Rattus norvegicus: one gene and its partner. The protein of the gene in region 2 purifies or fractionates together with the protein of the main gene of each other region. This does not show direct contact. Links are inferred from orthologs where the notes say so. Each region holds a gene or a part of one and is shown on either strand. Other genes may lie near its edges.

Evidence for each region.
Region 1: the proteins of Ndufaf5 (region 2) and Ndufaf8 purify together in Homo sapiens (affinity purification with mass spectrometry; 3 studies listed by BioGRID and IntAct, counting the BioPlex papers as one, with this or other methods). This does not show direct contact. The link is inferred for Rattus norvegicus from reciprocal best matches to the Homo sapiens genes NDUFAF5 and NDUFAF8.

What each region holds. Positions count from the first base shown.
Region 1 is NC_086028.1:105,870,879-105,886,864, reverse strand, and holds Ndufaf8 (NADH dehydrogenase [ubiquinone] 1 alpha subcomplex assembly factor 8), read right to left. Parts: upstream 6,958-15,986; 5' UTR 6,918-6,957; coding exon 6,834-6,917; intron 6,746-6,833; coding exon 6,635-6,745; intron 5,024-6,634; coding exon 4,994-5,023; 3' UTR 4,806-4,993; downstream 1-4,805. Other genes in the region: Slc38a10 (solute carrier family 38 member 10), read left to right, coding at 1-513; AP-4 complex accessory subunit tepsin, read left to right, coding at 7,227-7,274, 7,984-8,056, 8,430-8,521, 8,607-8,700, 9,412-9,479, 9,691-9,766, 9,885-9,956, 10,809-11,012 and 5 more. UniProt on the Homo sapiens protein: Involved in the assembly of mitochondrial NADH:ubiquinone oxidoreductase complex (complex I, MT-ND1). Required to stabilize NDUFAF5.
Region 2 is NC_086021.1:147,983,493-147,998,533, forward strand, and holds the end of Ndufaf5 (arginine-hydroxylase NDUFAF5, mitochondrial precursor), read left to right. Parts: intron 1-3,656; exon of another isoform or gene 3,657-3,752; intron 3,753-6,898; coding exon 6,899-6,982; intron 6,983-7,302; coding exon 7,303-7,385; intron 7,386-7,527; coding exon 7,528-7,614; 3' UTR 7,615-7,636; downstream 7,637-15,041. UniProt on the Homo sapiens protein: Arginine hydroxylase that mediates hydroxylation of 'Arg-111' of NDUFS7 and is involved in the assembly of mitochondrial NADH:ubiquinone oxidoreductase complex (complex I, MT-ND1) at early stages. May also have methyltransferase activity.

The DNA of each region.
Region 1 (15,986 bases), on a different chromosome or scaffold from region 2:
AAGGTCCCAGCTAGTGGGCCAGCAGGTATGGGCTTTCAGGCCCAAGCCAGGTTTCGGCAAGAACCCCAGGTCATCTTTGACAAAAGTCAGGATTCTCACCCAGAGGTAAGAAGTGAGGGCCCCCGAGGGGTTGGCATCCCTGCTGAGGAGCAGCACAGAGGAAGAGGGGCTGCCGCTATGCAAGAGGAAAAGCAGAGACCAGATCCGAATTCTGGGCCCAAACTAGCTGTGCCTGGGGATCAGAAGCCTGAGAATGCCAAACCTAACAGAGACCTGAAAGTGCAGGCTGGCTCTGACCTGCGGAGGAGACGGCGGGATCTCGCCTCTCCTCCAGAGCAGGAGCTGGCTCCAAAGGATGGAGTCATCATTAGCTTTAACTCCCTCCCTAACGTACAGGTGAACGACCTCCGCAGTGCTCTGGACACCCAGCTCCGCCAGGCTGCAGGGGCCGCATTACAGGTGGTGCACAGCCGGCAGATTAAACAGTTGTCTGGAGACCTGGAGGAAGCCTGAGAACCTGGTCAGGGGAAGGCTGCTGCTAGACATTGGACGGCAGGCAGCCGGTGTCCTCTGGCGACACCCTGACTGGAGGCCATGTTGTTATGTTCCCAAGTCCTTCATGATGAATTGCGAAAGTCTACCCTGCCACCCAACCCTAGGCATCTGTCCCTCTGTGGCTTCACTTGCCCCAAGGCCACACCAAAGCACGCACTGGCCCTAGTATGGTGGGTCTTGAACCAGCCCAGGAGAAGCAGTGCTACATACAGTTCAGCTCCAGTGATGCACTGCGGCACCTCGGCTGTTCAGACTCAGTCTGGCAGTGCTGACAGCAAGGCAGGCAACTTTGAAGTTGCCAGTCTTCATCTAACTTGCAACCTGTGACAGCCAGATTCCACTGACTAGATAAATTCCATGTTCTCCATAGAAGGAAACCTGCATCAGGGATGTCTGTCTGCCTTGGGGTGGGTAGGACTTGACTTGGGTTGGGAAAGGAGGCACACAGCCCTCCTGGTTTTTATCATCCACATTCTTTGAACCTGATTATGAAGCAAAAAATAAAACACCACTAACAAGTAGTGAGTCAAGTTGGTTTACCTAAAGGAAAACACATTCAGGATCCTGGATGATACCAAACCAGCTAGAGGCTAGAGGTCATGGGGATACACGCCCCAGCCGTCTTCCTGAACCAGCTGAGTGCTGCTGGGGAAGCAACAGGCAACAGGCCCCCGTGCTGATCCCTGTTGTAGGGAGGGGTTGGACAATGAGCACAGGCTTGCCACCAGCAAGCCCTGGGATGTATCTACACGGCTTTAGGCTCAGAGTAGAGCTGCCCTCTGTCCAACTGCAGCTGTCAGGGTAGTGTCCTGGGAGTCAGAGCAGGAAGTCATGACTGTTGTCTTTGAGCAGAGAATACTTGATATGTTTTGTCACTCACTCCCTTGCCCAGTAAGGAGACTGAGGGACAACAGCCTGGTTTGTCCCCAAGCCCTGCCGTGAAGGGCCTGGAAGCACCAGGAGCCTCAGTGGAATCATACTTGGACCAGGCCACACCCTATTGTGTACCTGCTGCACCTCTTGAAATGTATTTTATTACAGTTTATTTTTTTTTAATTTACTTATGTCTATCAATGTTTCCTTTGCTTATCTCTGCACCAGATGCCTGCAGTGCCCCTGGATGTCAGAAGAGGGTGTCAGGCTTCCATCCTTTCTGACTAGAACCAGTTCCAAATACAGCATTGTTTGGTGGAAAGATGCCACCTGGCCTTCCCCTCAGATCAAAACTCTTGTCACCTTGCTGGGGCTGGGACTTCTACATAGCCTGATAGTCCTGAGTATCTTGAGGTCATTGTGTTCTAAAAGTAGGCAGGGCTGTCCTTGTTCCCAGCTCTTCCTCCTAGCTCTCCCCTCTAATCCTGCTGTTAGCACCTTCAGGTAAGGGCACTTCTTAAAGAACACAGCTACAGATTTGGGGTGGGGTGGGGGTTGCTGGCAAACTGTAAAACTGCTGAGGGAGACGGTGCTCCCAGCTGGGTCCTGTAAAACCTGGGCCAGCAGCCTGCCAATTCAGCTACTAGCTACTAGTTGGGTCAGGTCAACTCCAGTAGGCAGGCTACTGCAGTGGGATGCCTGCCCACAGATGATTCTGCTGTAGAACAGGTATGCTTGGTAGCAATGCTACCAGGCTAGGAGGCATGCTTCTGTTCCAGGGCAGCAGAGCGGGGCACAGGGAGTAATGCTCAAGCTCTCAAAAGAACAGACAGCTGGGGTAGGAATGGCAAACATCTTTAATCCCAGCACTCAGGAGGCAGAGGCAGGTGGGTGGATCTCTGAGTTCAATACCAGCCTGGACTGTAGAGTGAGTTCCAGGATAGCCAAGGCTACACAGAGAAATCATGCCTCAAAAAAAAAAAAAAAAAAAAAAAAAATAAACCAGATTTCATCCAAGGCCAAGACATTGGTTCAGTGAGGTCTAAGTTGCAGGGTTCCAAGTAGGAGAACCAGGAGGAAGTTTTTAAGTGCTTAGGCTATAAGGTGGTACACCAAGGCAACCTTTGAACTGTGCTCTCTTGCCCAGGAAAGGTTCAGCAGGAGGGCCCTCACAGCACTAGAACTTGACAGGTAACCTCTGGGCTTCAGCCCCAACAAGCTGACTACATGCTTGAGCAGTCAGTGCTATGTGGCTGTGGCAGCCGTGGAAGCGTCTGTTGTAGCCAGTGAATGCACTCCTGAGAGAGACTAGTGCAGGTGCAAAGGCCAAAGGAGCCTGTACAGCAGTGGCCTGGATACTGCAGGACAACTTGATTGATTTTCAGTTTCAGTACCAAGGTTGCCTGGCCTGTGTGATCAGCCGAGACAGCACTGTGGCACAAGCATATGGTAGAGGTTTTCCATGTCCTGTTGGACAGGAACTGAGGATCAGGCACAATGTTCAAAAGCATGCCTGTAATGACCTACTTCCTGAAGTTTCTAGGACCTCCCAAAATAGTCTCGTTCTTGTGTGTACGAGAATCTAATATTCAAATCATGACAGCTGGAAGGAGTGGGGCTTGAGGCCTGAGAGCTGAGCTGAGTCTGTAGTAGGCCTGGGTTATGCAGGACCATGGAAAGCAGTGGGACTGTCTGCCTCCTCAGGGTTAAGGTGGAAGATGAAAGGACAGAACATTTTGCCAGACAAGTCTGAGGGCCCAAAGTTGGGAGTATTCAGAGATGTAAGAGGCTCCAGTCAGTGAGCTTTCAGGGAAACTTGAAGATGATATTGGCAGGTGGGGAGTCAGTCTGAGGAAGCTGGTCTTGGGCTGTGAGCTCTTGAGAACATGGAGAAAAGAACACTCAGACAACAATCTGTAATCCCTAGGCAATCACACCAACACCTGGGTCTCAGTGAGAGCCCAGAAGTCATGTCTTGAGATGGACTCGGAATCTACCAAATGTGAGTTTTCTAGAAGCTGAAGGGATGGCCTAGCAGTTAAAAGCACTTGTTGCTCTTGTCGAGGACCCAGGTTTGACTCCCAGCATCCACATGGCAGCCCACAATTCTCTGTAATTCCAGTTCCAACACCATTGTGCCTCCCTGACCTCCAGTGTAATATACATATACACGTGTGTGTGTGTGTGTGTGTGTGTGTGTGTGTGTGTTACACACACACACAGCTACAACACCTGTCCACGCTGAATAAATCTTAAACTAAAAAACCTGGGTTTTCCCGCACGGTCAGGCCAGTTCCAGAGTAGCAGTGAGATGCCACGTGGAGGTGCAGATTTAGGCATGGAATACAGGGCATGATGGTCCCTGGCCCTAACCCTGTTCCCAGGAATCAGGGTTCTGAGGCAGGTGCACTGTCAAGGACACCATGACCACCACACCTAAGTAGAATGGGACTCAGTAGTTCCCATGTTCCCCAGCAGGTACAGAGAATCCTCTGCACTCCTGAATTTTTTTAAGCCCACTGTGTGAAGAGGAGGAAAAGAATGAAGGCTAGGAGCCATTGTCCCTGACAGGCTGCAGGGATGGCTGTCCCCTCACTGAAGGTCCAAAGAGAACCTCCTTGTTGGCTTTTGTGCAGAAAAGCCTCTGCCAATTCTTGGGCAGCCCTCCCTCCGTAGGCCGTTTCTTATGCTGGAGGCTTGCTCCCTTCTGCTGTTGCTGTTTTTGTCTTTGGTGTGCCTTACGCTAAGCTGTCAGATCCAGAGGCTTGGTGAGCCAGACTTAGACTAAATACTTTTGATGAAAATAGGGAGTTTTTGTTTTAAGATTTATATGTTTTGCCTGTATGTCTGTGTGCCACATGTGTGCCTGGTTCCTGCTGAGGCCAGAAGAGGGTGTTGGATCCCCTGGAATTAAAATTAAAGATGGCTGTAAGCTGCCATGTAGGAGCTAGCAACTGAACCTGGGTCTTCTGAAAGAGTAACAGGCGCTTTTAACTGCTGAGCAGTTTCCCCAGACCTTGGTTAGAACAGGGTTTCTTGTTTTGCTTTGGTTTGGGGTTTTTTGTTTTGTTTTTTTTTTTTTTTTTTTTTTGAGATGGTTTCTCTGTGTAACAAACCCTGGCTGTCCTAAACTTGCTTTGTAGACCAGGCTGGCTTTAAACTCAGAGATCTACCTGTCTCTGCCTCCCGAGTGCTGGGATTAATGGTGCGCACCACTATGCCCAGCTGAGTGCAGTTTTAAATGAGGTCCCTGTGGCAGAGCTCTGTGGTCCAGACCTGCCACCCTTGTGGGGTGGGGATGCAGGTGTCCTCTGGATACATTGTCCTTAGGAGAGACCAGTTCCTTATACCATGCTCTCTATATAAAAGTCTGAAACTGCAATGTTAAATCATCATGTTACATCTTAATCAAATCCAGATCCTCATACACAAAGTGCTGTGTAAACAGCCCTGCCCTGCCCAAGGTTCAAGGTGGGAAGAACCACGTAACACCAGGAACTCTGCTGTCCACATTCAGGTCTCCATGAGTGCTGTCAGTACAACGCATCTGTGCCCATTGCTCTTCCTAGGAGCCTCCCATCATGGTCTTCTTGGCCTGAAAGAGAAAACATTTTGTTTCAGCAACTTATTTCCAATTTTAGATATGGCTTAAAAGCAAGACATCAAATGCCACATTCTCAGGGTTGGGGATTTAGCTCAGTGGTAGAGCGCTTGCCTAGGAAGCGCAAGGCCCTGGGTTCGGTCCCCAGCTCCAAAAAAAAGAACCAAAAAAAAAAAAAAAAAAAGCAAACAAATGTCACATTCTCCCAAACACCCTAAAGAACTGAGGTGGTAGTGTATATATGGGGGTTCCAGCCTGAGCTCACCTACAGAGGGAGCCTGGGCCCTGTGATTGGGCACGGATGGATGTGGGATACCTTTATCTGGTCTAGGCAAGAAAAGAGATGGAGTCAACAGTTCACCAGCCACAAAGTTCTGGTCAACCACAGAGAGGGTGGCAGAGACAGCAGAAACTATGAACACTAGGAGTGTGTCTAGGGTTTTGATGACAGCTGCTGGCCACCAACCACAAGAGTAAAGGCTTGTCTGATTGCCTCCCTGCTCAGGGAGGGAGGGGTACAGGGTTGAAAGGCAGCCAAAAGGCAGGGATCAAGGTAGAAGGAACAAGAAAAGCGCAGCACCTGAAGACTGAACAGCGTCTGCTGGGAAACTAGTCAGAGGTTGTAGGTAAGGCTAGACTGTAGTGAACTCAAGGAAAGTTTAGGTCTCCCAAACACTGCTCTTTCTGCCTAAGGCTACTGTGGACTTAGCGAACTGCTTCAGATATGCCGTGTGGCTCTGCGTTCTTTTTTTTTTTTTTTTTTTTTTTCTTTTCTTTTTTTCGGAGCTGGGGACCGAACCCAGGGCCTTGCGCTTCCTAGGCAAGCGCTCTACCACTTCTTTTTTTTTTTTTTTCTTTTCTTTTTTTCGGAGCTGGGGACCGAACCCAGGGCCTTGCGCTTCCTAGGCAAGCGCTCTACCACTGAGCTAAATCCCCAACCCCGTGGCTCTGCGTTTTTAACCCCCGACCCTATCTCTCGTCCTATTTCTGCATTGGCATCTCCCAGCAGCAGTGCTGCTATGACCTACCTCAGACCCGCCGAATCAGCAATACCCAGGAGACCAGTAGTAGTGATAATTCTAGGAACCTATCGTAGGATGAGGGCCCAAGACTCTTGCAGGTCAAAGACCCATTACCTGATAACACCTACCTGTTCTGTCTGAAACATACACTATGGTCTCCCGGTCTCACTATGGTCTTACGCTGCTGGCCGTCTTCACAAGACTGTAAGTGGGACGGCAACTGACAGGGACCATGGCCAGGCAAAGTCAGAGGGGACTTGAAGTGGAGGGGTCATAGGCTGAAGACCCAAGAGGCTCTCATCATCTTTTCTGTGCTACAATGAGAACTAGCTTCGGACACTGCACTTGACTCCTCGGTGAAAGGGGTGCCTAGCAGGGCGCTCCCCGGACAACGCACAGGAACTTCTGAGAGAAACTAAGTTGAGCTGGGGTCGGCCTTCAGCAAAGTTAACTTGAGGTCCTTCCACCCTTCAATGACCCTTCCTGGAGTTGATTGGCAGAAAAAAGTATGCTTGGCCTTGCCCTAAAGCAGCAGAAAAGGAAAGCCAGAAAGGAACGAGGCAGCAAGGACATGCCCACCTACCGCGGCGGCGAAGCAGCTCCGCAGGGCCTCGAACTCGCGCACGCACAGGTCCTTACTCAGGCGGCCTCCTGGGGCAGTGGAGGCCTGCACGCACTTCCCATACGCCGAGGCCTGTGGGAAGACCGGACAGTACTAGGGTCTGACCAGAGTCGCCACCCTCTTCCGCTTATCCTGCAGCCCAGCTCCGTCCGCTGCTTACCTCAGCTCCGCAGGCCGCCAGATGCTCGGGAAAGGCTCGGAGACGGCTCCGCACACGCCCCCACACCGCTCCGTTGACAGACATGAGCGGTTCTTTCAGGCCCTTGTGGGCGCCGCCATCTTGGGCCCTGCCTCTTCCGGTGTAGAATGTGTGAACATCCGGTCCCTCCGCCTTTTACTGCTTTCTGGTTGGTCAGAGTCGCTGTCTTGTGCTTCTGTAATTGGTGTTAGTTCTTGTCCGACTCTACCTGGGACTTTGGACTGGCTGAGGCTCAGATGTTTCCGCCTTTGTGCCCGCCTCCTGAGAACGATTGGTTGGGGGAACCAGAGAAACGCGACGATTGGAGGATCGAAACCTGGCGGAAGCGTGGCAGACTGGGAGGTTACCTGGACCATGGCAGCCGTTCCGCCGCTGCGAGACCGCTTGAGCTTTCTACATAGGGTGAGTGAAACTCGCCGGGTGTGCTGACACTCGCGCTCGGGGACCTTGCTAGATTAGCGGGGACAAACTGTCCAGCAGCTGCTGAAAATGAGTGCGCCTGCTGTGATAGCAGGAGGTTAACCCCAAGGGCGGCGAGCGATCTCCAGCGGGGCCCATCCCCTCTTCCCAGGCTTCATTTCTGAAGATCCTGGAAACTCAGATCTCAACCAAGTAAACACCATATGTTTGCAGTGACAGGCAAGGCAGTAAGTAAGCAAGCACAGCTATGCTGATTCATGACTATAGAACTGAAACCCCTCAAGGAGCCATGAAGCCCGCCAAGCTGAGCCCTTTGGGTCTGTACTCAGGAGGGCTGGTGTCTCGCCCATCACACACAAAAAGCCCCGAGATTCTTGCTGTTGCTGGTTGATAAGTAGGTAGATTTAAAATATCCTCACACTTATGAGCATAGAAGGCTGGGACTGAATCTCATCTTGACCTAGAGAACCGTCATTGATTTTCCTCTTTCCTGGGTCACTCCTCCGTGCCAGAGCAAAGCCTGTTTACAGCTCCACTTTGTGGCCCTTGGGATGATTGTGGTCCCTCCCAGGCTCTCCTGGGCAGTTTCGGCACCAGTCAGCATGAGGCCTGCCTGCTTCCATTCCCTTCAGTGGCTGGGACCTACCCTATATAAGACGGCAGCTTCACCATGGCACTCATTCCTCTTCAGCTCCCCATTCTGTTGAAGGGGACCTCAGATGATGACATCCCATGCCCAGGCTACCTGTTTGAAGAGATTGCCAGTATCCTTCTGCACCGTTGGTGGGTTTAGTGCTTAGTAAACAGCGGGGGTCCTGACTTAGCAGGAAGGGCTATTGGGCAAAGATGGGGTCTTCTGCTATCCCAGGAGCACCAGCAACTTCTTTTTCCTAGTATCCAGATGGGGGTAGGAGTGGGGTAAGAGGAGGGGAGGGAACACTAAAAACTACAATACCAATAAGGTAGAGACCAGGACACGCTAAAAGTTCCAGTGCTGGTTAGACCAAAGCCTGTGGTCATGGTCTTCAAAGTGAGACCTGAGTCCCATGGTCATCGGAAGGCAAGTCTTTCTCAGCCAGTAGATCCTTCCTGGTATGGCCTGTGTCAGCCTGCTTCCCTGACCCAAATGACTCTCAGAGATTTCCCACGAGTCACTGGGCAGCAGCCAGTGCCTGCTGGAGTACCTCCTGAACCGCCTGGACAGTAGCTCTGGCCACGTGAAGCTCAAGGTGAGGCCTCAGTCCCTGGAGCCAGCTTGGGTTGGGGGAGAGATACTTCGCAACCGCCAGCCCCATGAGTCTGCTGGTTCTTCAGGTGCTGAAGATCTTGCTTTACCTGTGCAGTCACGGCTCTTCCTCCTTCATGCTCATCCTTAGGAGAAACTCTGCTCTCATCCAAGAAGCCACAGGTATGGAAAGACACAGGTGTGCCCAGGGAAAGCAGGGGGTGGGTATCGGTACACACAACCCTTGGGTGCCACACTTGGGGCTCTGACTGGTCTGAGCTTGTGAATGGAAAAGGTGTCAGTGTTGGAGGTACCCACTAAGGACTCTCTGAGGAATGACTCTTAGCCCTAAAAGGGTGAGGCAGAACTGGCATATATAGGTGTGCTATGGTATACGCCAGCATGTGCAAAGCCCTGAGCCAAGGAAAGCTTGGCTTCACGTGGTGTGAGAAAACCTCGTTTTCTCTGAGGGGGCCTTTTTAGCAGAGGGAGTTTTATCTCAGGCTGAAGCAGCCTGGGAGCCAGGTGCAAAACAATACGTAAAAAGGTCCTGACAGAGACCTCAGGTCTACCATCCAGGCCCTGAGAAACTGCTAAGGGTCGTGTTGCAGGTGAGTGGAGGAGAATGGACCCAAGGAAGCAGTTAGGTAAGCACAAGTCCAGCGAGGGTAGGAGGTGGGAGGTAAGAAGTCTGTCTCTGGCAGACACAGTAGATATCATAGAGGTGGATGGTGGCTTCGCTACCTCCAGTGGTCAAGGGCGAATGTTAAATGTTGTATCCCCAACCCCCCTGAGGAAGGAGCTGGGGGATATACCCTCTGGGAGGGTTGGCCTGCCCCATGGGTAGCAAAGAGTACCCAGGCTCAGCCTCTCCGTCTGTCTTCTGCCCTGCAGCTTTCGCGGGGCCTCCGGATCCTCTTCATGGAAATAGCTTGTACCAGAAAGTGCGGGCGGCTGCCCAGGTGAGCTCTGGACAGGGTCACTGCCCAGACTCTAGGGCGACAGAATGTCTGTGAGGTGCTTGCTGTTTTCCTGCCGCATGGGGCCCAGCTGAGCCACAGCCCCTGTCCTTTGTTGGACAGCTTGAGAGAATTGTCTGACACAGAGCAGAGCTGGCGGGGGTGGGCAGAACAGCGGGCTCAGGTAGGACTCAGCACCCACTTCTTCATTTAGGACCTGGGTAGCACCCTCTTCTCAGACGCACTGCCACAGCCTCCCTCCCAGCCGCCCCAGATCCTGCCTCCTGCAGGTATGCCACTCGGTGACCACCCCCCTGCCATCATCAGAGGTTGTCCCTTGGTGTCCTAGATGTCTCTGTGCATGTGGGCAGGGCCGGGGAGGCCTACGCTGATGCCAGTTTCTTTTAGGCATGGGCGCCCAGGCCAGGCCTCATAGTGCTCTACAAGGCTTCGGTTATACTAAGGAGAGCAGCCGGACAGGTAAGACACAGGACTCTTGGGTAGAGAGATGTACAGATTTACTCCCAGCACCCAGAAGGCAGAGACAGATCTGTGAGTTTGAGGCCAGCCTGGTTCAGGATGACCAGGACTACATGGGAAAAAAAACAAAAACAAAAAAACCTGTCTCAAAGACCAAAAAAAAAGAAAAAAGAGTTTATATTCATGTAGAGGTCAGGGCCAGAACTCAATGGCATCAAGATCATCTGTCCCCAAGTGTACCCATGTGGACCCGTTTGTTACTTCCTGGATGTGCTTGTTCCCCTGTGCTGTTTCCTCTGCCCAGCTGAGAGGAAGGTTTGGCAAGAGTGGCCAGGTTTACTTGATGGCCAGGAAGGAGAAGCTAGACTTAAATCCAGCTGGCCTTGGCCTTTGGTACTGCTTGAGGAGCAAGGATCCAACCATGACAGGAACCTGGAGGGCCATCTGTGCCGGTGGTAACAGCGTGGTACGTGTGGGTCCTACTCGTCAGATACTTGTAGCTTGTCTGTTGAAGGTGTATCTGACAGCACAGAATGGAGCAAGCCATCTCAGCTATCCTTGGGGCTGTATACGGAGCCCCCTGACCATCCTTGCCTGCGTGTTTGTACCCCTTGACTGAAGGGACAAGGACATTTTGACTACCCAGGGCAGCCCTCGTAGAACATCCCTTGCCAGAACTGATTGCTCTAAGCCAAGAGTCCAGACCAGAGTGCAGCTGCTGTGCTCCACCTGAAGCACGTGTCTGTCTGTACCTCCGTAGCTCTGAGCAGACAGTTGCCCTGGCCCTCCTGGAGCATGCAGTCGGGGTTGGGAAGGAGGCTGGGGTGCTGATGCCACTTCCTCTGTGTACAGGCTCTGCAGGTGAAACCTTCCTCTCCACCATCCAGAGGGCCGCAGAGGTAGTGGTGAATGCTGTGCGTCCTGGGCCTGATAATCCTTGTACCAAGGGACCCCTGCCACACGGTGATGCCTACCAGCCTGCAGTGACACCTTCAGCTAGCCACACACATCCCAACCCCGGGAATCTCCTCCCTGCGGCTATCCAGGGGACCAGAGGTAAGGCGGTAAGGGTTGCCACATTAGAGGTTTAGACGTGCCTTCGTGCCTAGGCAGGACTGTCACAAGGGCAGGAGGCAGGAAGCACCCATCTTGTGTGCTGGAAGTTTCTGGAGCTGTCCTGTAAGCTCAGGACACAACCTCTCGTCTCCTAGCCCAGAGTCCCTAAGAAGGTGGTGTGAGGTCTGTGAAAAGTCCTGGGGCCTTAACTGCCATTCTTGCATCTTTCAGCTGTGAAACACCAGCCCGGGCAGGCTGGAGGAGGCTGGGATGAGATGGACAGCAGTCCTAGTTCCCAGAATTCCTCCTGTACCAGCAACCTGAGCAGGGCCTCAGACTCAGTCAGTCGGTCTGGCAGTGATAGCCACTCTGGTGCCAGCCGGGAGCCAGGCGACCTGGCAGAGAGGTATGTGGAATAGATGGTCACCTCTCCCAGACCCCACTGTGGGAGCTTAGAGGGTGCTCTCCCACCCTTCTACCTGAGACCTAGATATCTGACTTGGCCGAGCTGTTGTACTTTTTCCAGGGCTGAGGGCATGGCCCCAAATGACTGCCAGCAAGAACTGAATCTAGTGAGGACTGTGACACAGGGGCCACGTGTCTTCCTGAGCCGTGAGGAGACGCAGCACTTCATCAAAGAGTGAGCTGCCCACCTGTGTGCATCTGTCCCGAGGGAGGAGGGAACTTGCTGTGGCTGCCCCCGATCCCTCCCATATGTCCCCTCCCTGTACAGGTGCGGCCTGCTCAACTGTGAGGCTGTGCTGGAGCTGCTCCTCCAGCAGCTGGTCGGGACCAGTGAGTGTGAGCAGATGGTGAGGACGAGAGGGAGCTCACTGTGCGTGTGTGAAGGAGCAGGGATACGTGGATCTGTGTGGATGACAGCAGGGCACCCTTGGCTGACAGTGTCCACCTGGGCAACATGGAGAGGGTGGTGGGGACAGCATGGCTAGTATCTCCTCATCCAAGGCCAAGACAGAGGAGGGTGGCATGAGACCCTGAGGAGCCGTGGAGAGCTGACTCCCGTTCTCCCCTGCTTCTGGTCCACAGAGGGCACTGTGTGCCATAGCGTCCTTTGGAAGTGCTGACCTCCTTCCTCAGGAGCACATTCTCCTCCTGTGCCGACAGCAGCTGCAGGAACTTGGTGCAGGCAGCCCTGGGCCTGTGACCAACAAAGCCACCAAGGTGAGCCGTGGGCCCTGGGAGCGCCAGACGGTCTCAGCGCTCATGGCCCAGGTGGCCATGGTCAGCACCTATGACGCATTCCTACAGCCCTGCCTATGGCTGGTGCCCACCTCCCTTGGACTTGCACCATGGGTGCCTTGGCTGCCTGCTTTACCTGGACACCCACCCATTCCCCCACTCATTCCTGTGCCTGGCTCACCATCCTGTGTCCTGCACATACTCACCCTGCTCCAGAAAGTCTTCCTTGGGGCAGGTTCACCCTGCCTCATCTCCAGAGTCTTTCCCATGGCCCTGAGTCTCCTCACCTGTGCCTGTTCTGTCTGCTTGGTCGCACCCCTAGTTGGTTTTTTCTTTGTTTGTTTGATTGATTGATTGATTGATTGATTGTTTACATTTTGAGATAGGGTCTTACTATGTAACCCTGACTGACCTAGAACTCACCCGACACACCAGGCTGGACTCCCAGATCCGCCTGCCTCTGCCTCCCAAGTACTGGGATGAAAGGCATGACTACACATCCGGCCAGGGTCTCTTATTTTCTCTATTGCTACTAAATGTGTTGCAGCCTCTTAGTCCAGGTTGGCTGCTACACTGTTAGCACCTGTTAAACCCAGTAAACTTGGGTAACATCACAGGAACGTTTGTCCAGAGTAACCTTGGTCCCCTGGGAGGTTCTGAGGCTGGGCCTGCCCATATATCTGTTCAGGGGGACTTGTGTCATGCCATGTCGTGACTCTGGGTACCTGCCTGTGCTAAAAAACAATTAGCCTTGCCCCTCACTGTTTCTAGCAATAAACAGGAACCCCCAACTCCTTCCCGTTTTCCTCCAGATCCTGAGACACTTGGAAGCCTCCTGTGGACAACAGTTCCCTACCCTAAGGCCCTGTGCCCAGCCCAACTCTGCAGCTGCTGTTGTGGGCCCAGCTGATCTGCTGACCAGCCCTGTGCCTCCCCCTGGGAGCCAAGTCTTCCTCCAGCCTCTTAGTTCCACCGCAGTTGTGCCCAGGAGTCCTGTGCCCACTCCATCTCCAGATACCTTACCTCCTGCTCTGCAGGATCCCGGTGAGCTCAGAACCCAATTGGTATGTTCTAGTGAACCAGGGACAGGATCTGAACAGAGGCTGGAGAACACAGACACCCCAAAGGATAGCTCCAGTCCGTGTCCGTGGAGCCCCAACTCTCTGTTTGCTGGCATGGAGCTGGTAGCTTGCACCCGCCTGCCCTGCCCCAGCTTCCAGGCAGATTTGCAGAAGGTGACCACAGAGCCTCCAGTTTCAGAGCCATCCGCTTTTGCATTTTTAAACATGTGACTTTCTGGGCCCCGCTGTACAGAGTCCCCCCTGGCCCTCATATGGAGTTCACCATGGAGTGTTCCGTGGGTGTCTTCTGGCTGTTCTTTTGCCCCTCTGGCCCCTTCCTTTCACCTAGGAAACTGGTACAGCGGTCTTTGAGCCAGGTGATCCCTGGATGGACCTCCCAGTGCTCAGAACAGTCACTGAAGAAGACATATGGGCCCTGAGTGCTAACCAGCCAACCTGGAAGTGTGAAAAATATGGTCAACTAGTGCCTCAGAAGATGTCTGCACATCCACTGCTTCTTGGGAAGTGACTCTGGCCATGCCCCTGAGATTGACTTCTCTCCTCCTGGCAAGACCCACACAGACCTTCTTAGCAGTCTGTCCATAGCTGAAGACCGCCTCAGAGGTTTCCCGCTTTGTGCAGTACATCTGCAGGGCAGTACTTCCCCAGGGCTGCTGACCACAGTCCCTCTGCCCCATGCTGCTCTGTCTCTAGGAGGCTGAACACTGAGGCCAACTCCCAGGCTACCTCAGTCCCAGGCGGGCCTGTCCCATTGCTAGGAGCTGGCAACGATCGTATGGACTTGAACTCCTATGGTGACAGATGGCAGGTAGCAAGGCTGCAGCTGGGTACCCTGGGCAAGCCTTGTTGGGCTGACCCTCAGAAATGAGCACTTGATAAGGGTTAGAAACACTGACTTGGTTCACAGTTATGTTCTGATCTCCTTTCCTTCCTTATGGAGGTCAAATTAGCTGGGAGCGACAGCCTTGAGGACAGGGTGCTGGAAAGGTGCCTGTGGCCCAGAAGGCCTCGTTCTCAGCTTCCTCAGCCAAGTGCCCTGTGGCCATTGCCAGTGTCAGCCCCTGTGGGGCCCAACTCTGGATGCACAACTTGCCACAGTTTTCTCCAGCACACGGGAGAGTCTCGTCTAGATGAACCTTCCTGTCCATCTCAGAAGAGCCTGTGAAGCTGCGCCATGCACTTTCTCAATAAATGCAGATGTTTACACAGCCTGTGCCACTTTTGTTTAAGAGATGTTATTTACGTCAGTACACTGTAGCTGTCTTCCGACACAGCAGGAGAGGGCAGCGGACCCCACTACAGATGGTTGTGAGCCACTATGTGGTTGCTGGGATTTGAACTCAGGACCTCTGGAAGAGCAGTCAGTGCTCTCTTAACCGCCGAGGCATCTCTCCAGCCCCCATTTATTATTACTATCATTAATTAGTCACTATTATTATTATTCATTATTATTAGTCACACCTTGAGGACTTGTTTTCCTGAGTAGAGCAGGTGTCTCCTCCCCAAGTGTTTGGTGGAGCCTCTCAACGGTGCTGTTTCGCCCTCACCCGCAAGGGGCCAGGATACTCTGAACAGACACTATGGTCGAGCTGCTCCAGGCCGAGCGAGCGGTGATCATGGCCTGAGAGGTGTCTTTCCAAATCCCATCAGAGTCTCCACAGGTGTTCAGTTGTGTCTAATGCAGGGCCTTGCGCTTCCTAGGCAAGCGCTCTACCACTGAGCTAAATCCCCAACCCCAAAGCGTTACCTCTTAACAACTCCTACAGCGTGGCTTTTCTTGGAAATCTTTCTGTGGACCCCAGGTTTTCACATCGCTTCAGCTGGTGAGTCAAGTGGTTCCATTGGGGTTGCAGGAGCAGGGAAAAGCGCATGGCAGTGTCCCACTGAAGAGTGGCCTTTCTCTAGTGACTGTTGGTGAAGTCGGGGTGGGGGTGGGGTGGCACTTCAATCCCTCCTTCCCTGTGGCTGAGGTTAAGGCAGATGCCATGACCAGAGGACAGAGTTCATCCCAGCTATGCTAGCCAAGGCTGGTGTTGTCGGTGTCTTATAAAATGATAGAAACACACAACTGTTCAGAAACAGCATCCACATCCTGGGTGTAGAACCTGACGAGCCCAGGTCCCCGGGCCACACCCTTGGGCAGGGGGTTTTCTTTATCTGCAGTTAAGTAAGTAGTTCAGTGAGGAGGTAGTAGCCATTCACGGTGTTGGAGCTAGCAACATGTAAAAGACTTAAAACATCTTGGCCCATACCTCAGACTTCACATAAAAATTTAGAGAGAACCATAGCCTAAGAGTCAAACACCAGGCATGGTGGTTCGCCCCTTTAATCCCAGTACTCAGGAGGCAGACAGATGGAAGCTTCATGAAGCTGAAGCCAGCCTGGTCTACATCGGGAGCTCTAGGCCACCCAGGTCTACATACTAAGACCCTGTGGTGGGGGGAAAGCAAAACTTATCAAAGGGAAAAATGTCAAAGCTTTAATGTCATAGTTAAGGGAATGGAAGGATGAGCCAAACACTGATAGACTATTTTTTTAATGATTTATTTTATATGAGTTCACTGTAGCTGTCTTCCAACACAGCAGAAGAGGACATCAGATCCCATTACAGATGGTTGTGAGCCACCATGTGGTTGCTGGGAATTGAACTCAGGACCTCTGGAAGAGTAGTCAGTGCTCTTAACCACTGAAC
Region 2 (15,041 bases):
CACCCTGAGGGACAGCAGGGATGCAGCTCCCGCCTCTCGGCTTTGAAAAAGTGTGACTTATTCAGGAAGAAACACCTGCCATGGAGAAATTACAGCTGTCCTCCTTTGTGAGACTTTGTGAACGGCTTGTACACACACACACACACACACACACACACACACACACACACACACACACTCTTCACTAATAGCATGGGCAATTTTGATGGCTAGAGGAGTTAAAGTTGGGGGGGGGCGTCTATGAAATAGAATTATGCTTGCCTGTAAGGAAGCCTTCATCTGTTTCTGAAAATTTATAATACATTTTGAAATAATGAAATTTATGTAATTGCTTGCCTGTTCTTACATTTATAGATTTATGGTTTTTACAAACATTTTTGTACTTTTTTCTTCCCAGTGTTCCTCTTGGTAACTGCTTTTATGTTGAGTAAGAAGCATTAGGGCTAAAGAGAACCCTTGAGTCTGAGTGGCTGACTTAGGTGCCAAGCGTTTGTCTTGTGCCCTGGCGTCTTACCCGACTCTCATTGCTTGCTGTAGTTGTCTGTTAGTGGTAAGGGTCTGGCCTGTTTCTTGTTCCACGTGTTTACCACTCTTCTGAGAGTGCAGTTACACTGTCCTATTAACATAGGAAGATACACATAGACAAAAACTAATCACTGTGGTCCCTTTGCATCATGAGAAACAGGATTGGTAGGCTACTGGTGCACACTCAAGATGATAAAGATAATAAAGCACAGCAAACATTTTTTGAAATGTCCCCAAGTACTAAACAGACTCAGAAACATGGAGCCCTTTTATGTAAAAGCTTAAGATATGGTAATGAAATTATAATTTCTCATTTAGGCTCCAACAATAATTCTTTGAATACAGTGTTTATTTTCTACTAGTCTATAATAAATGCTGTACTCATGATTCATTTCAAGAAAGAAAATAGAAAGAGACAAGAAATTAGATCTATCAGTTGGAAAAGGTTACTGCCCACTGATTTAAAAATACAGTAATTACTCTGCAGTTCTCTGGGCTATTCTTTTTCTTTCCATGTGTGGGTTGTTTTTCTAGGGATCAAAAACTTTAGCCTTGCACATATAATCCAAGTGCTTTGCCACTGAGCTACATCTCCAGCCTCTGATTTTTCGATACAGGATCTGCCTTTGCACCCTCAAGCTAGCCTTGATCTTGCTTTGGATTGCAGGCTTACCTCAGACTTACTATCTGCGTGTCTCTGCTTCCTGAGTGCTGTATTGTATCTGGCACAAGGTTTTCTAATGTCTTGATTTACAGGTGAACTCATCAAAGGCATAAGTACCTTGTCTGTAGTCATGCTAAACCTAGGATTAGTTACTTGAATCCACAGTTTTATTCTATACATTAATGTAGTATATATGTATGTATATATGTATATATGTGTGTGTATATATGTGTGTATATATATGTATGTATGTATGTATTTATACTAAAATATATAGTTGCATCTTTCAAATAGTGAGATTAGCCTTTTTGTTAACGCTTTAGTGTTATAACTGCTTGTGGTTTTTAAAAATGTTTTTTGTTGTTTCTTTCAGAATTTCATAAAATAAGTTTTTGATCATATTCACTCGCTCCAAATTCTTTTAAGACCCATCCGCCTTCCCTTCCACCCAGTTTTATGTCTCTGCCCTCTCCCACGCCCTCAACGTCAGTTTGTGCTGCTTGGATCTGTAGCCTGCTGGAATGTAGCTAACTTATCATGACTACACTCTTGGAGAAAACTGACCCTTCCTCTCCCAGCTAACAGTGGCTAATCGCTCCTCAGGCAGGGGTGGAACACTGCCCAGCTCCACTTTCCATGCTGGGACTTGATTTGGCTGGGGAATTCCAGGTGATGCTACCACACTGGTTTACATGTGCAGCTGTCCTGCTACGTCCAGAAGACACTGTCTCCTCCCTGTCATTTCCTGCTGGCTCCTATATTCTGTCTGATGATCCCTGAGCCTTTGACACAGGGGGTTCAGTGTGTGTGTGTGTGTGTGTGTGTGTGTGTGTGTGTGTGTGTGTGTGTGTGTTCCATTTAGAACTGAGCATTCTGCAGTCTCTACTTCTCTGCACCATGGCCATTTGTGGCTCTCAGTGTTGACTGTCATCTATGACAAAAAGAAGCTTCTCTGGTGAGGATTGAGAAATGCTTCAATCTGAAGGTGCAAGAAGGCAGGTGTGAGACACATGGTGTCTTAGTTATGTTGCTGTGAAGAGACACCAACTGACCAGGCAACTGCTATAAAAGAATACATTTAAGTGGAAGTTTTTGAGGCCTAGTCCATTATCATCATGGTAGGAAGCTTGGTGGCAGGCAGGACAGCATGGCACATGGGGCTGGGATCTTACATTCTGATCTATTGGCAGGCAGGTAGGGAAAGGCTTAGCATGGACTTTTGAAACCTCAAAGCCACACCTACTCCAATAAGGCCATGTCTCCTAATCCTTCCCTGATAGTTCCACTAACTAGGGACAAAGGATTCAGTTATGGTTATGGGGGCCATTCTCTTCAAACCACCACACATGGTCTTCCGGTAAATCAATGCTTGCATTTTAACCACTTTCTAGATCAGGTTTTAGAACCTTTTTGGGGCCCCTTCCCTATTAGTAATGCCTGCCCCCTGGGCTTTAAGTAGGTCTGACAGTTTGAGGAACTGTTCTGAATGCTTACCCTTTAGAGAGATCTCTTACCTCTACTGTCAGGCCTTTTACAAAAGTCATGTTTTTGATGTCTTTTATCTGTAGGTGACTTAAGAATCATATAAAGATAATTTGTAAAAATGTTATTTGTTTAAACAGAAGCATTAACTGATGGCTTTTATATTTATTCACTGACTGTTTATTGAGTCCTTAGCTAGTGGTGGAGATCTGTAGTTTCTCATCTCAAGTTGCTAATATTCTAGATGAAAAGACTCCCAAGCTAGACAGACACACCTCTACTTAAAATGAGAGAAACACAAGGAATTGACTTTAAATCTGCTTAAGAGTCTTATAGAAAATGCAGAACCTAGGTGAGCTAAAGTGAGTTTTCCAGGATGAAGGGTAGGGAGAGTTTGAGGGTTGCACCAAGAAGAGTGTGTATACAGTCATGGGCGGGAGATATGAGAGGTTATGTATGTCCTACTCTTGTGTTGGGGGAATGTGGTAATAATGCTGCCTAAGTGTATAGAATAGGCAGATAATGGGGAACCATAGAAGATCAGAAGCTTCTAGATTTTCTCAGATGAGCCTTCTAGCTTGTCTTGGGAGAATTTTCCCCAGGGATGACTCAGATTCAAGTGTAGTAGAAGGTACATTGTTTGCCTGTTTGTTAGGCATGATTTATAGGAGGGTAAGACAGGAAGTAGCATGGCCAGTCTGCCCTGGTGTATGAGGAAACTGAGGCACAGAGAAGAAAGGGACTTGTCCAAGTTGTAATGGAGACAGGCAGCTTAGTTCATATCCTGAAGTCTCCACTATTTACCCAGTGGGAAAAGTCCGAGGGTGGTGGGAGGTGGAGGCGTGCGGGTGTTTGCTGGGGTGCTCCTGTGCCAACTGGAAGGTGGCGTCCTCCAGTTAGCGATTGTATTCCCTATCTCTGTTGTGTTTGTTTTCTGATGGTTGAGGTGTATCTCATTTTAGCTACCGTTATTATTAATTCACAGAAAAAAATGGAGAAGGTTGACCTAATTTTACAAACAAGTTTCATATCAACTGATGAATGCATGAGACATTTTCAAGGCTTTCACAGTGGTTTTAAGGTAAGTTCAGGTTTTTTTTAAAGGCAATGCTCAGCATTGTTTCAGTAATCCACATTAAAGTTTGTTTTTAATAAGCATTTGAATTTAACCTTAAAAACACTGTGAGAAAGCCGGGCAGTGGTGGCTCACACCTTCATCGCCAGCACCCTGGAGGCAGAGGCAGGTGGATCTGTGTGAGTTCGAGGCCAGTCTGCTCTTCAGAGCTAGTTCCAACACAGCCAAGGCTACATAAAGAAATCCTTTCTTCTTGAGAAACCAAAACAAAACACCTCTATGAGAAATCTCTCCTCAGCATTTGGCCAAGATCAAATGTAAAATCACTGAGAATCTTAAAACCATTGCCAGGCAGTGTCTGTTCTCCCAAGTCCTGGTTGAGTTGCCATTACAGACATCTTTCCTAGATGGTTGTCAGTAAAGCTTCCCCACAATGAACTACAAGATATTCCATTTTAAAGGTGAAAAACTGAGTCCGCTAAGGTTGAATCATGCTTATCCTAAGTTATGTAAGGTTGCAATCAGAGTCGAGGTTCTCTCTCTCTCTGTGGTACTTCACAAGGAAAGAGGAAGTTCTGGACAGCAGTGTGTGTTTCTGAGGGGACAGTGGACTCCGGTGGCAAGAGAGTTACTGTTGATGCGTGTATCGGTGCTCTATAACCCAGCTGGGTCAGACTCACAGAGATGGCATATGCCTAAGAGTCTTACTTAGAATATGTAAGTAACAGTTGTTTGGCGATGTCTAGTGCGTTGGGGGTTGTCTTTGTATTTGCTGCATGTGATTTGGAATGAAGCCAGGGCAGTGGGACGTTGAGCAGAAACTAAGTTTTGTATCCATCGTTGGTAAGAGACTGCCGCAGTGTGAACCCTGCCTTACTTCGATGCTATGTGATTCATGTTCACCATGTGGGAGAATATTTTTAAGATGGGTATATAGTGGGATTTGTTAGTTTTTATTTAATATGTATGTCTCTAAGAGCATATGGCACACATGTGGATACCCACAGAGGGCAGTGGATCCTCTGGAACTGGAGTTACCAGAAGTTACCAGCCTCTGATGCAGATGCTGCGAGTTGAACTCAGGTCCTCTGAAGAGCGGCATGTGTGCCTAACCACTTGGCCACTGCTCTGGTCCCCAGTATTTTTTGTTTTGGTTGGTTGATGGGTTAGAGGTTTTTTATTTGTTCTGTACTTGAACCTGGGTCTCACACAGCTGAGAATGACTCTGAGGATGACCCTGAAATGACAGTCTGCCTGGCTCTCTTTCCTAAGTGCTGGGATTTTAAATGTGCATCACCTTACCCAGTCATGTGTTTTTAATTAACTTAGCTTAGTAGTTTGTGACTATTAATGATCTATGAATTAAGACCATTAAACTCACAAAATATGGGACACTGGGTTTATTAATAGAATGAGTGTCATTCCTATTGAAGTAGTGCCCTTAGAAGCCAGAAGAGGGCCGGATTCCTGGAGCTGGAGTTACAGACTTGGGCACTGCCTGGTGTATTCTGGGAACCAAACTCAGATCCTTAGCAAGAGTGGTGTGTGCACATAACTGAGGCAGCTCTCCAGCCTCCTTGTTGGCTGCTTTTAATAAAACCAATACAATAAAAATATAAATTTTATTTAAATAAAAATCTAAAAATAGATTACTGTTTTAAACTATTGAAGAAATGATCATTTCTTGACTAGTAGAAGTAGTAGACACTTGCTCATGTAATAAATTTTAATATTAAGAATAATTACAACTTTGTAAAATTTCCTTTAGTTCTTTTGTAGAATGATCTTAAACATAGCCTTCTCAAATATTTTAAAATGTACATGTAAAGAAAAATAGGTAACATTAATTTGATATTACATTAATTTGTTTTTATTTTTTATAGTACTGGGAATTGAACCCAGGCGCACATCTCTCTCTCTCTCTCTCTCTCTCTCTCTCTCTCTCTCTCTCTCTCTCTCTCTCTGTGTGTGTGTGTGTGTAGGGGTGTGTGCTTCTGTGTGCATATGAGTTGCATGTGCAGCCTCTATATGTGTATACGTGGTTGCCAGAGATCATTGTCTCTTGCTCCCTCTGTTTTCCTTTGTCACTGAGCCTGGAGTCACTAATTTGCTAGACTAGCTGCCCTCAGGATTCCCTTGTCTCCCTTCCCAGCATAAGGATTACAGCAGATACCACCACACCTGCTCTTTATGTGTGAGCTGGAGTTCGTGGTTGTGTAGCAAGCACTGTATCCATTCATACATATCCCCAGCCTCTTGCCCTCATTAGGCAAAGACTGTACCTCCTAGCTATCTCTCTAGCTATACAATAGAAATTTTCAGTAAATAGCCTCTTACCATCGACTTAAAGAAAAGGTTGGGGCTAGAGAGATGGCTCAGTGGTTAAGAGCACTGACTGCTCTTCCAGAGGTCCTGAGTTCAAATCCCAGCAACCACATGGTGGCTCCCAACCATCTGTAATGAGATCTGATGCTCTCTTTTGGTGTGTCTGAAGACAGATACAGTGTACTTATATATAATAAATAAATGAATGTAAAAAAAAACTTAAAAGGAAATTATGTTACAGTGTACTTATATATAATAAATAAATCTTTTTTTTTAAAGAGAAAAGGTCTGTAGATTAATTTTAAAATACTAAAATAAGTGCCTCTATGGGGAAATACACATAAGTTTTAAATCTGTTGTTGGTAAAATATCAAAACAATTTGAAGGCATGGTCATTGAGTTCCACAGCCCTCATCCAAGTTTACAGTTGTAATTTTATGTGCTGCTTAGAAGGAAGGAGGCACTGTCACAGTGTCCTGCTTCAGAGAGCCAGCAAAAAGGGGTATAAGGTGAGGTATTCTTTGAAAGACCCTTGCCAATGCTTGCGACCCATCTAGGGCCTAGGTGGCTTTTGCTGAGCCGGCTCACTGTAGACTGTGGCTGTTGTGGGAAGGATCCTGGTGCTTCCCTGCTGAGAATTAACTTTCCTTGACTTGGTAGTGCAGAGGATTCAAACAGCTCTGCTCCAGTCAGTGAGGGCCCAGCAGGAATGTGAAAGCCGGTGAGACTGAGTGGCTGTGCTGTTGGATGAGGTGGATCGTGTCTTGATGCTGAGCTGCTCGGCGTGTTTGCAGTACTTCCTCAGACTGCCTGTGGTTTATTTTTAGGGATGGGTGAGAGCAACTGTTCTTGGAACAGAAAAGCCCTGCTGCACCGAGACACAATGCTGGCAGCTGCGGCGGTGTACAGAGGTGAGTCGCCCACTCCTCTACCTGCAGTCACGGAGGGTTTGTGCTGCGTGCTGTTCATTCCACAGCGCCGTTCCCTTCTAGTAAGGTGCTGTCGGGCTTCGTGGGAATTTTGATTTTCGTTTTCTCTCAGAATATAGATCCTATCTGTGTCTGTTTCCAAGCAGTTCTTGTTTCCATAGTGTCAGCTTCTCTGTGTTGAGCCTTGTTATGTGAGGCACACAGATCCTACAGCTAGCCTAGAACTCATTTCTCTTGGAAGTAGGTGTTTATTAGGAGCAGATAGATACTGTTCCAGAATTTAACGATGTTTGTCTTTTTAGAAATGTACAGCAATGAGGATGGTTCCATTCCTGCCACATATCAGATCTACCATATGATAGGATGGAAATACCATGACTCTCAGGTAATGATAGTTCTTAGAGGGTTTGTGTTTCTGCTTGTTTCCCATTGTTGATTGACTTAGGGTATATCATGCATATCATGATTGGGGTTACTCTGGGTTGGCCTTATCTGCATCTAATGTCTCTCATTTTTCTTGTTTTCAGGCAAGGCCAGCTGAAAGAGGTTCAGCAACCGTGTCATTTGGAGATCTAGCAAGACTAAATGATACCATGTCACAGGGGAAAAAATAATAAACATTTGATTCAATTGTAATGTCTCCTGGAATTTTTTTTTTTTTTTTTTTTTGGTTCTTTTTTTTCAGAGCTGGGGACCGAACCCAGGGCCTTGCGCATCCTAGGCAAGTGCTCTACCACTGAGCTAAATCCCCAACCCCTGGAATTTTTATCAGAAATAAGTAACTTTCACATCGAAATTATTACAGTTTGAAGCAAGAAGCTATCTATTGAGCTACTAACTAGCAACCTCATACTAGTCATGCTTAGTAGTATTTCGAGTTCTCGTTTACTTCTGTTTACGTAAAGATGCTGCTACGTAATGATTGGGCATCCTTGGAATCCAGCCTGAAAGCAAAGGAGATGCGGGGAACCTAGGAATATGTGCACACGTGTCAGTACGTGATGTGATGGGAAAACATGTTCATGTTCACATGCTACACCTTTCCTCCTTCTGGTCTCTGTCATTCCTGTGGGATGATCACACGCCTGAGGATGGGAGGAAGGACAAATTGCCCGGTTCTTGAGAGTTCTTGTGCAGTACAATGAGAACTCTTCATAGTGACTGCTGTAGACACTGATACCAGAATTCTTTGTTGTACTTTGTTTCTGGAGACAGATCTCATTGTGTAGCCTTGGTTGGCCTGGAACTACCATGTAGACGAGGCTGGCCTCCACTCATATTGATCTGTCTGCCTTTAGTCTGGGGATGACAGGCATGCCTGGCCCACCATACCTAGTATTGGTCACACGTCTGTCTTGTCCAGATGACCAGAGCTCCGAAGCTACTCTAGCTTTGAACTTGAGAAGAGCAGATTCATCCCTCTTTTCCTGGGTTTGTTATTTTTGTTCTGCATGTTTCCATTGTGTGCATGCTTGGTGCCTGCGGAGACCAGGAGAGGGTCCCCGGGAACGATGTTACGGACAATGGGAGCCACTTCAGGTCTGCTGGGAACAGTGCTCAACAGTGACCATCTCTCCAGCTCCTCCTCCCCACGTTTAAGAGCATCTGAGTTCTGTCCCTGCTTTTTATTCGTTTTTTAACTTCTAGGGTCTAGGTTGCCTACACCACTTTATCTTAAGAGAAGAAAACACTTTAAATGATCAGAAGTAAAATCTCATGTAGGCCTCATTGCCAGTGACTAGCCAGTGTTGACAGACTTTCCTTTGTTATTTTAGACATAGTACACTATTATCCCAAATCCAGGCTCACTGTCTTGACATCTCAGGGTCAGAAAATTTGGAAGCAGTGACATGTCCCTACTGGGCTTTGCTCTCTAACCACTGCTCCTATTTGGGTGTTTGTGGAACTGTAGAAGTGGAGGCCTGGCTCGAGGAAGTTGGCCACCAGGGGCAAGCCTGGATGTTTGTAGTTCTGTCCTGACTGTGGCCCCTTTGCTTCCCTGCTGCTGTGCCTACCCTGCCCTGCCTTATGACTATCCCAAAATAGTCTTCCCTCATTTCCTCCTCTCAGGGATTTAATCATAGTGCCAGGAAAATAACAAAACTTACTAAATTGTCATATCAAAAATTTTTACAAAACTCATTAAATTATTAAATGACATGGAAAACAATGTCTTGAAAACCACGTTTGCTTTTAAATTGCTTAGCTCAATGTCGTGAGGTCCTGGTTGCTGTAGAACTTACAGAAGTCTTCCTGCCTCAGCTGCCCGGGTGCTAGGATAAAAGCCAGCTGCCACACACCCTGCAGTTGTCAGTCTCAATAGTTTAAGAAATTCTCGCCCTTTCTGCTCTGTTGCTGTAAGTTTGGAACTCAGGATGGAAGATTTTTCAGGACTCAAGTTCATGGTAGGAAAGAAAACTTTGATTCTGGGAGCACTGGCCTTTGGAATAAAATTCATTTATTTGAACACCTCTTTGAGTTTCATGTGCTAAGCACCACCAGACTACCTGTCTCCCCCCTTTATTTCTTCTTCTCTCATACATTACATCCCGACTGCAGTTCCAGTCATCTCACCCAGGATTCATCTCCTCCCCACCCACACTTCTCAGGTTCTTGTACGAGCAGATTGTATGGAAATAGTATGGGCTTTTTATTTTAACAAAAATATAATAAGATAAAACAAAAACCATATGGGATTTTAAAAGCCCAGATTTGATCATCGTTTGCAAGCCTACCCCACCCTCTCCTTTAAGATTTATTTTACTTTTGTAGTTATGTGTATACTGTGTAAGTATGTGTGGAAGAGCACAAGTGCCTGCAGAGCCCAGAAGCTGAGGACATTGAAGTCCCTGGAGCTGGAATACAGGTGATCATAACCCTTCCTCCACAGGTGCTGGGAACAGAGCCTGGGTTCTTGCAAGACCATGCACCAGGCCCCTGTCTGCCCTTTCAAAGTAGCAAGTTTAAGCCAATGTGTCTCTAGCCTGTTTATGGGATCTGAGGTTTCAGGTACCCATTAGTCTGTCAGAACCAACCTGGCAGAGAATAAAGAGCAGTTATCAAGACTATCTGTGAATGGGAGATTGGGAAGAGGGAAATTCCACAGGAAGATGAGGCGGTGTTTGTAACTAAAGCCTAGAAATAGGAGAAAGGAGCCGGGGGTTAGCCCTGAGCATGCGTGCTCCTTCCCAACACTCAGTTCTCTCTCTGGCCTCAGCATTTTCATGTGTAAGACTACAGCTTTGCTTCTCAGTCTCCTAGGAGGCTCCCAGCTTACCTTCCAAGATTTTGAGTGTCAAGTGAATATTTAGTGGGAAGACATGAAAAACATTTCACCCTGGATAAGGCACCAACAACAGACCACCCCAGTGTCCAGCTTGATGAGCCAATGAATTACTGGGCTTACTTAAAGGATAGTGGGTGACCCAAAGCAACCACAGCGCTAGAAAGTCTCAGCTTCCACACTATATACTCCTAAGCTAAGACTAGCCCGAGAACAAGGCTTGCTGATGAAGAATTACTGCTGGGAGGCAAGTATATGAAGGAGTGAGGAGAATCCCAGACGAAGGTTGCTTTCAAGTAGATGCAGCAGGTCTAATGAATATAGTCAGGGGCGTTAAGGTCACAGGATGGCTTTGGACAACACTGAGGGACTTTTCCAAATGTTTCTGTATGCTTCCCTGCCTCTGAGAATGGTGGCCTAAGCAAATCCATCACTGAGGGAGGGAAGTAAGTGGTCATGAATCGCTGGACAGGTTGAGATGAGAGGAACAGTCAGACTCCAGTTCTTGGAACCCAAGAGAAGCTGGCCAGGGATGCCTTCCTATCCTTACAGTTTCTTGAACTTTTGTTTACTTGGCTTTTTATCGGCAGTGTAGCATGTGGTGGTTACACCCTGCCATTTTCAATAGGCTGGGGTCACCGAAATAGCTCACATTCTCTCCTATCATGCTGATCTTCCTCTCTAGCCAGGGTAGTCCTTTTCCCTTTAAGAGTTCAGTTTGATTTTTATCTGATAACAAATTTTGGGAGAGAAGTAAAGAAACACACTGTGATTTACTTAGGTTCTTCCACTGGCCTTCTTTTCTAGATCCCTTTTTGGTGGAAGGTGGTGTCCCATGTATCCCAGTCTGGCCTCAGACTTGGAACTTGCTATATAGTTGAGAATGATCTTGGATTTGATTCTCCTGCTTCAACTTCCCAAATGCTGGGATTACAGACATGAACTACCATGCCTGGTTTTCTGTGGTACTGTGGATTGAACCCAGGGTTTCGAGAAGACTAGACAACTGACATCTCCAGACACCACACACACACACACACACACACACACACACACACACACACACACACACACACACAGGCGAATTTTAGTCTCTCAGATTCTGTATGGATGGTCTTCTATATTTTCTACAAAAGATAACAAATTTTTTAGTCCTAAACTTAAAAGTGCCCTGGATTTTACAGAAATTTGCAGTCACTTACCCAAATGATTAGGTCATAGCTACAAATCACACAAGGGCCTCAGGTGGCCGAGGCAGTACTGTGGAGGGCCTACTGGAGCAGTCTCAGTAAAGTTAGATTGTCTAGTCATGTGGTTCTCAAAGGAACTTTATTTACCCTTTACCCTATTCACACACAGTTGACAAAGCCACTTAAAGCTATGAGTATTATGCCCTTGCCAGACATTGAGTTAGTCCACTGATGGACATCCTAGTTATCTGTGTACTTCCCTATGAAGTGCAAGTACTGTTGTCCCCCTTTCAAAAAGGAAAAAGGTATAGAGATTGCGAGTTTTGTAAGGTCACCCAGATGGCAGAGGCAGTATTATTTAACCTCTACACTGCGTGTGATGGAGGCAGAACAAAACAGTTTTAGTCCTAAGGGTACGCTTAGTGTGGAACCTTTGTCTACCAGGTATGAGTGAAGTTTCCTGAATTGGATTCCGACGGAGGTGGGGATATTAATTACCTCATTGTCTTGGTTACTTTTCTCATTGCTGTAACAAAATACTTGACAAAAATGACTTCAGAAAAGGTTCACTTTCTCCAATGTGGTGGAAAGTCACAAGGGTGACTGGTTACTGTACGCTGAAGAAGTAGGGGTGAGTGCTATTACACCGTGCTCTCTCACCCAGCTTTTTGGTTTGTTTTTAATATGAAGTCTGGGTATCCAGCCTGTGTGAAGGGTAAGTCTTGTCTTAAAGTTCTCTGACACCTCCCTATACACACACACACCTAGAAGTCTGTCTTCTAGGTGGTTCTAGATCTAGTCAGGTTGGCAAAATAAGTCACACCTACCGCCTTTTGGAGGACGAAAACACGAGCCTCCAGTCTCTCTTCGGATCTTTCTCTTCAGCTGCTATGGTTTGCTAAATGAACCTCACAGGCAAATATGGTGAAGGTCTGGCCTACTTATTGATCTACTATTGTAGGTGATGGGACCTTAAGATGTGGAGCAGTATGAAAAGAACGTAAGTCACTAGGGGTGTGCTCTTGAAAGGTACATCGTGACCCCTTTGGTTCTGACAGCATAAGATGGACAAGTTCCTCTTCTGCTTGTCCTTTCTATGTGAGGCTGCCTAAAGCAGTGGGGCCATGCTTTCATGGAATGAAGTCTCAGAAACCATGCCCAACCTGCCCCCCTAAATTCATTTTCTCCTTATTTTTTGTTTGGTTTTGATCTTAGTGTCAAAGCTAAGCATATTAGCACACTCTGCACCCTAGTGAGCTATGAGTGAAGAACCTGGAAAGGATTATGTCCTTAGCATATGCCCAGTTTCCTGTTTCAGAATTTTGGTCCCTGCATATTTGCCTGCCTGCCTGCCACATTCCAGGTCTTCTGTGCGCTCAGTTCAACCGTCTTTAATTCAGCTCAAGTTTTCACTTCTAGCCTGCCTTGAATCTGTGTTATTTTGTACTTTATACATTGTTCCTGTATGTAAAGTATGTTTAGGTTCTTCAGCAAAATGTTTACCTCCTACACCAACATTGCTATAACCATAGTTCTAGTAGCACAGAGAAAACACAAATACAGACACTGGAGTTCAAATGAGGAATCAGGCACATTAACTGAAAATTCTAAGACCAACTACTCACTTGGAGTTAAGGATAGACTGTTACCTACCTCAGAAATCTGAGTACCAAGGAAGACAGTAGTTGGATATGGACAATTCCAACACAGTTCCTTGAACTAGGAGAAGACATCTGCTAGAGGTAGGAGGATTCGCCCTAGAGAACAAGTTGAATTATGAAGTCAAAGCAAAATTTGTAGCCAAACTGAAGGGGACTTTAGGTGCCACCCAGAAGCTCCCAAGTTGAAAGCTTGGTTTTCAGATGATGGCACTCTTGGGAGGTGTGTAACCTTTAGGAGGTTGTCTTAGTTAGGGTCTTATTGCTGTGAACAGACACCAGGACCAATGTAAGTTTTATAAAGGACAACATTTAATTGGGGATGGCTTACAGGTTCAGAGGTTCAGTCCATTATCATCAAGGCAGGAACATGGCAGCATCCAGGCAGGCATGGTGCAGGAAGAGCTGAGTTCTACATCTTTACCCAAAAGAAGCCAGGAACAGACTGAGCATTCCCAGTCAGCTAGGAGGAGGGTCTCCAAGCCCACCTCCACAGTGACACACTTCCTCCAACAAGGCCACACCTTCTAATAGTGCCATTCCCTGGGCCAAGCATATGCAAACCATCACAGAGGTGGAGCTTAATGTGAGACATTAAGATCACTGGGGACATATCCTTGAGTTCATACTGGGATCTCTGCACCTTCCTGTCACCCTTTGCTTCCTCACTGCTGTAAGAGTAGCAGCTGTCTCCACTGCAAACTCCCAACTGTGATGCTTTGTCTCACCATAGATCCCAAAATAATGGAGCCAACCAACCGTGGTCTGGAAGTCCCAAAAGATGAACCAATAATCCCACCTCATAAGTTGCTCATCTCAGTTGTGTTAGCGCAGTGGTAAAATGCTAATCCCTGTCTAGCAACTGCTGAGTGTTCAAAACTGAACAGGGACTGAGGAGATGGCTTGTCTGGAATCTACTGTGCAACTGTGAAGACCTGAGTTTGGATCCCTCTCATGGATTCTATAACCCAGCACTGGGAAGTATGAAATCGGGAGAGTCACTGGGGGCTATTGGCTAGCCAGCCTGTCCAATCAATGAGCTCCTCTCAAACACAGACACACACAACTGCACACGCACCCCAATATGAATATGTATATATACCATAGAATGAATAAACGAAAAAGCAAAATATATGTTTCAGTATATACTTACATAGTACATATATTTAACATACCATTCCCATCTTCTTTAATATCTATGATTATAAAAAATGACCTCAACTGCTTTAAGGAAAAGTTGTAGTTAACTTTCACATTTGATTAAGAACCAGCTTCAAGCCAGATGAGGGCTATTCCAGTACCAAGAAGGCTAAGGCAGGAGCAGTGCCAGGAGTTCAAGGCTGCCTGGTCTATACAGTGGATTCCAGACCAGCCTGGGTTAGACTGTGAGATCCTGTATCAAGGCGAGGCAAAACAAAGCAAAACAAAACAATAAATCAACCCTGGTGGCAGCAGGTGCTGTGTGTGCCTCAGTGGAGCGGGATGGATGTAGGTCCTATAGCTGAAGAGCCTCTCTGTGAGGCCCAGGCCTCCACCAGAAGGAAAGCCTGGTCTCTCGATGGGAATGTGACCCACAGTGGCAAAGACTGGGTTGAGGGAGAGGTGTCTGGAGCAGATACCCTCAGCTTGGATTGTCTGGGGCACCAGGCCTCCATCCCTGTGGCCACTTCCCAGTTCACACTTGCCTGAGTCCTTAGTCCCTCACAACACTGCCCTGGCTCTGGAATATCCAGGGTGGTTCCAGTTTCTCCCAACCTGGGACTCCAGTTTCCTGAGGAATGAAGGAGCATAGATTCTCCTTCCACCACTAAGCCAACCACACCCCTCCTGGGAAGTCTCTCCCTCTCCCTAGTCTCCTCTTCCCCTCCCCAAGCCACCCCTTGCTGGATTCCAGCCCCAAGGCTGGCCAC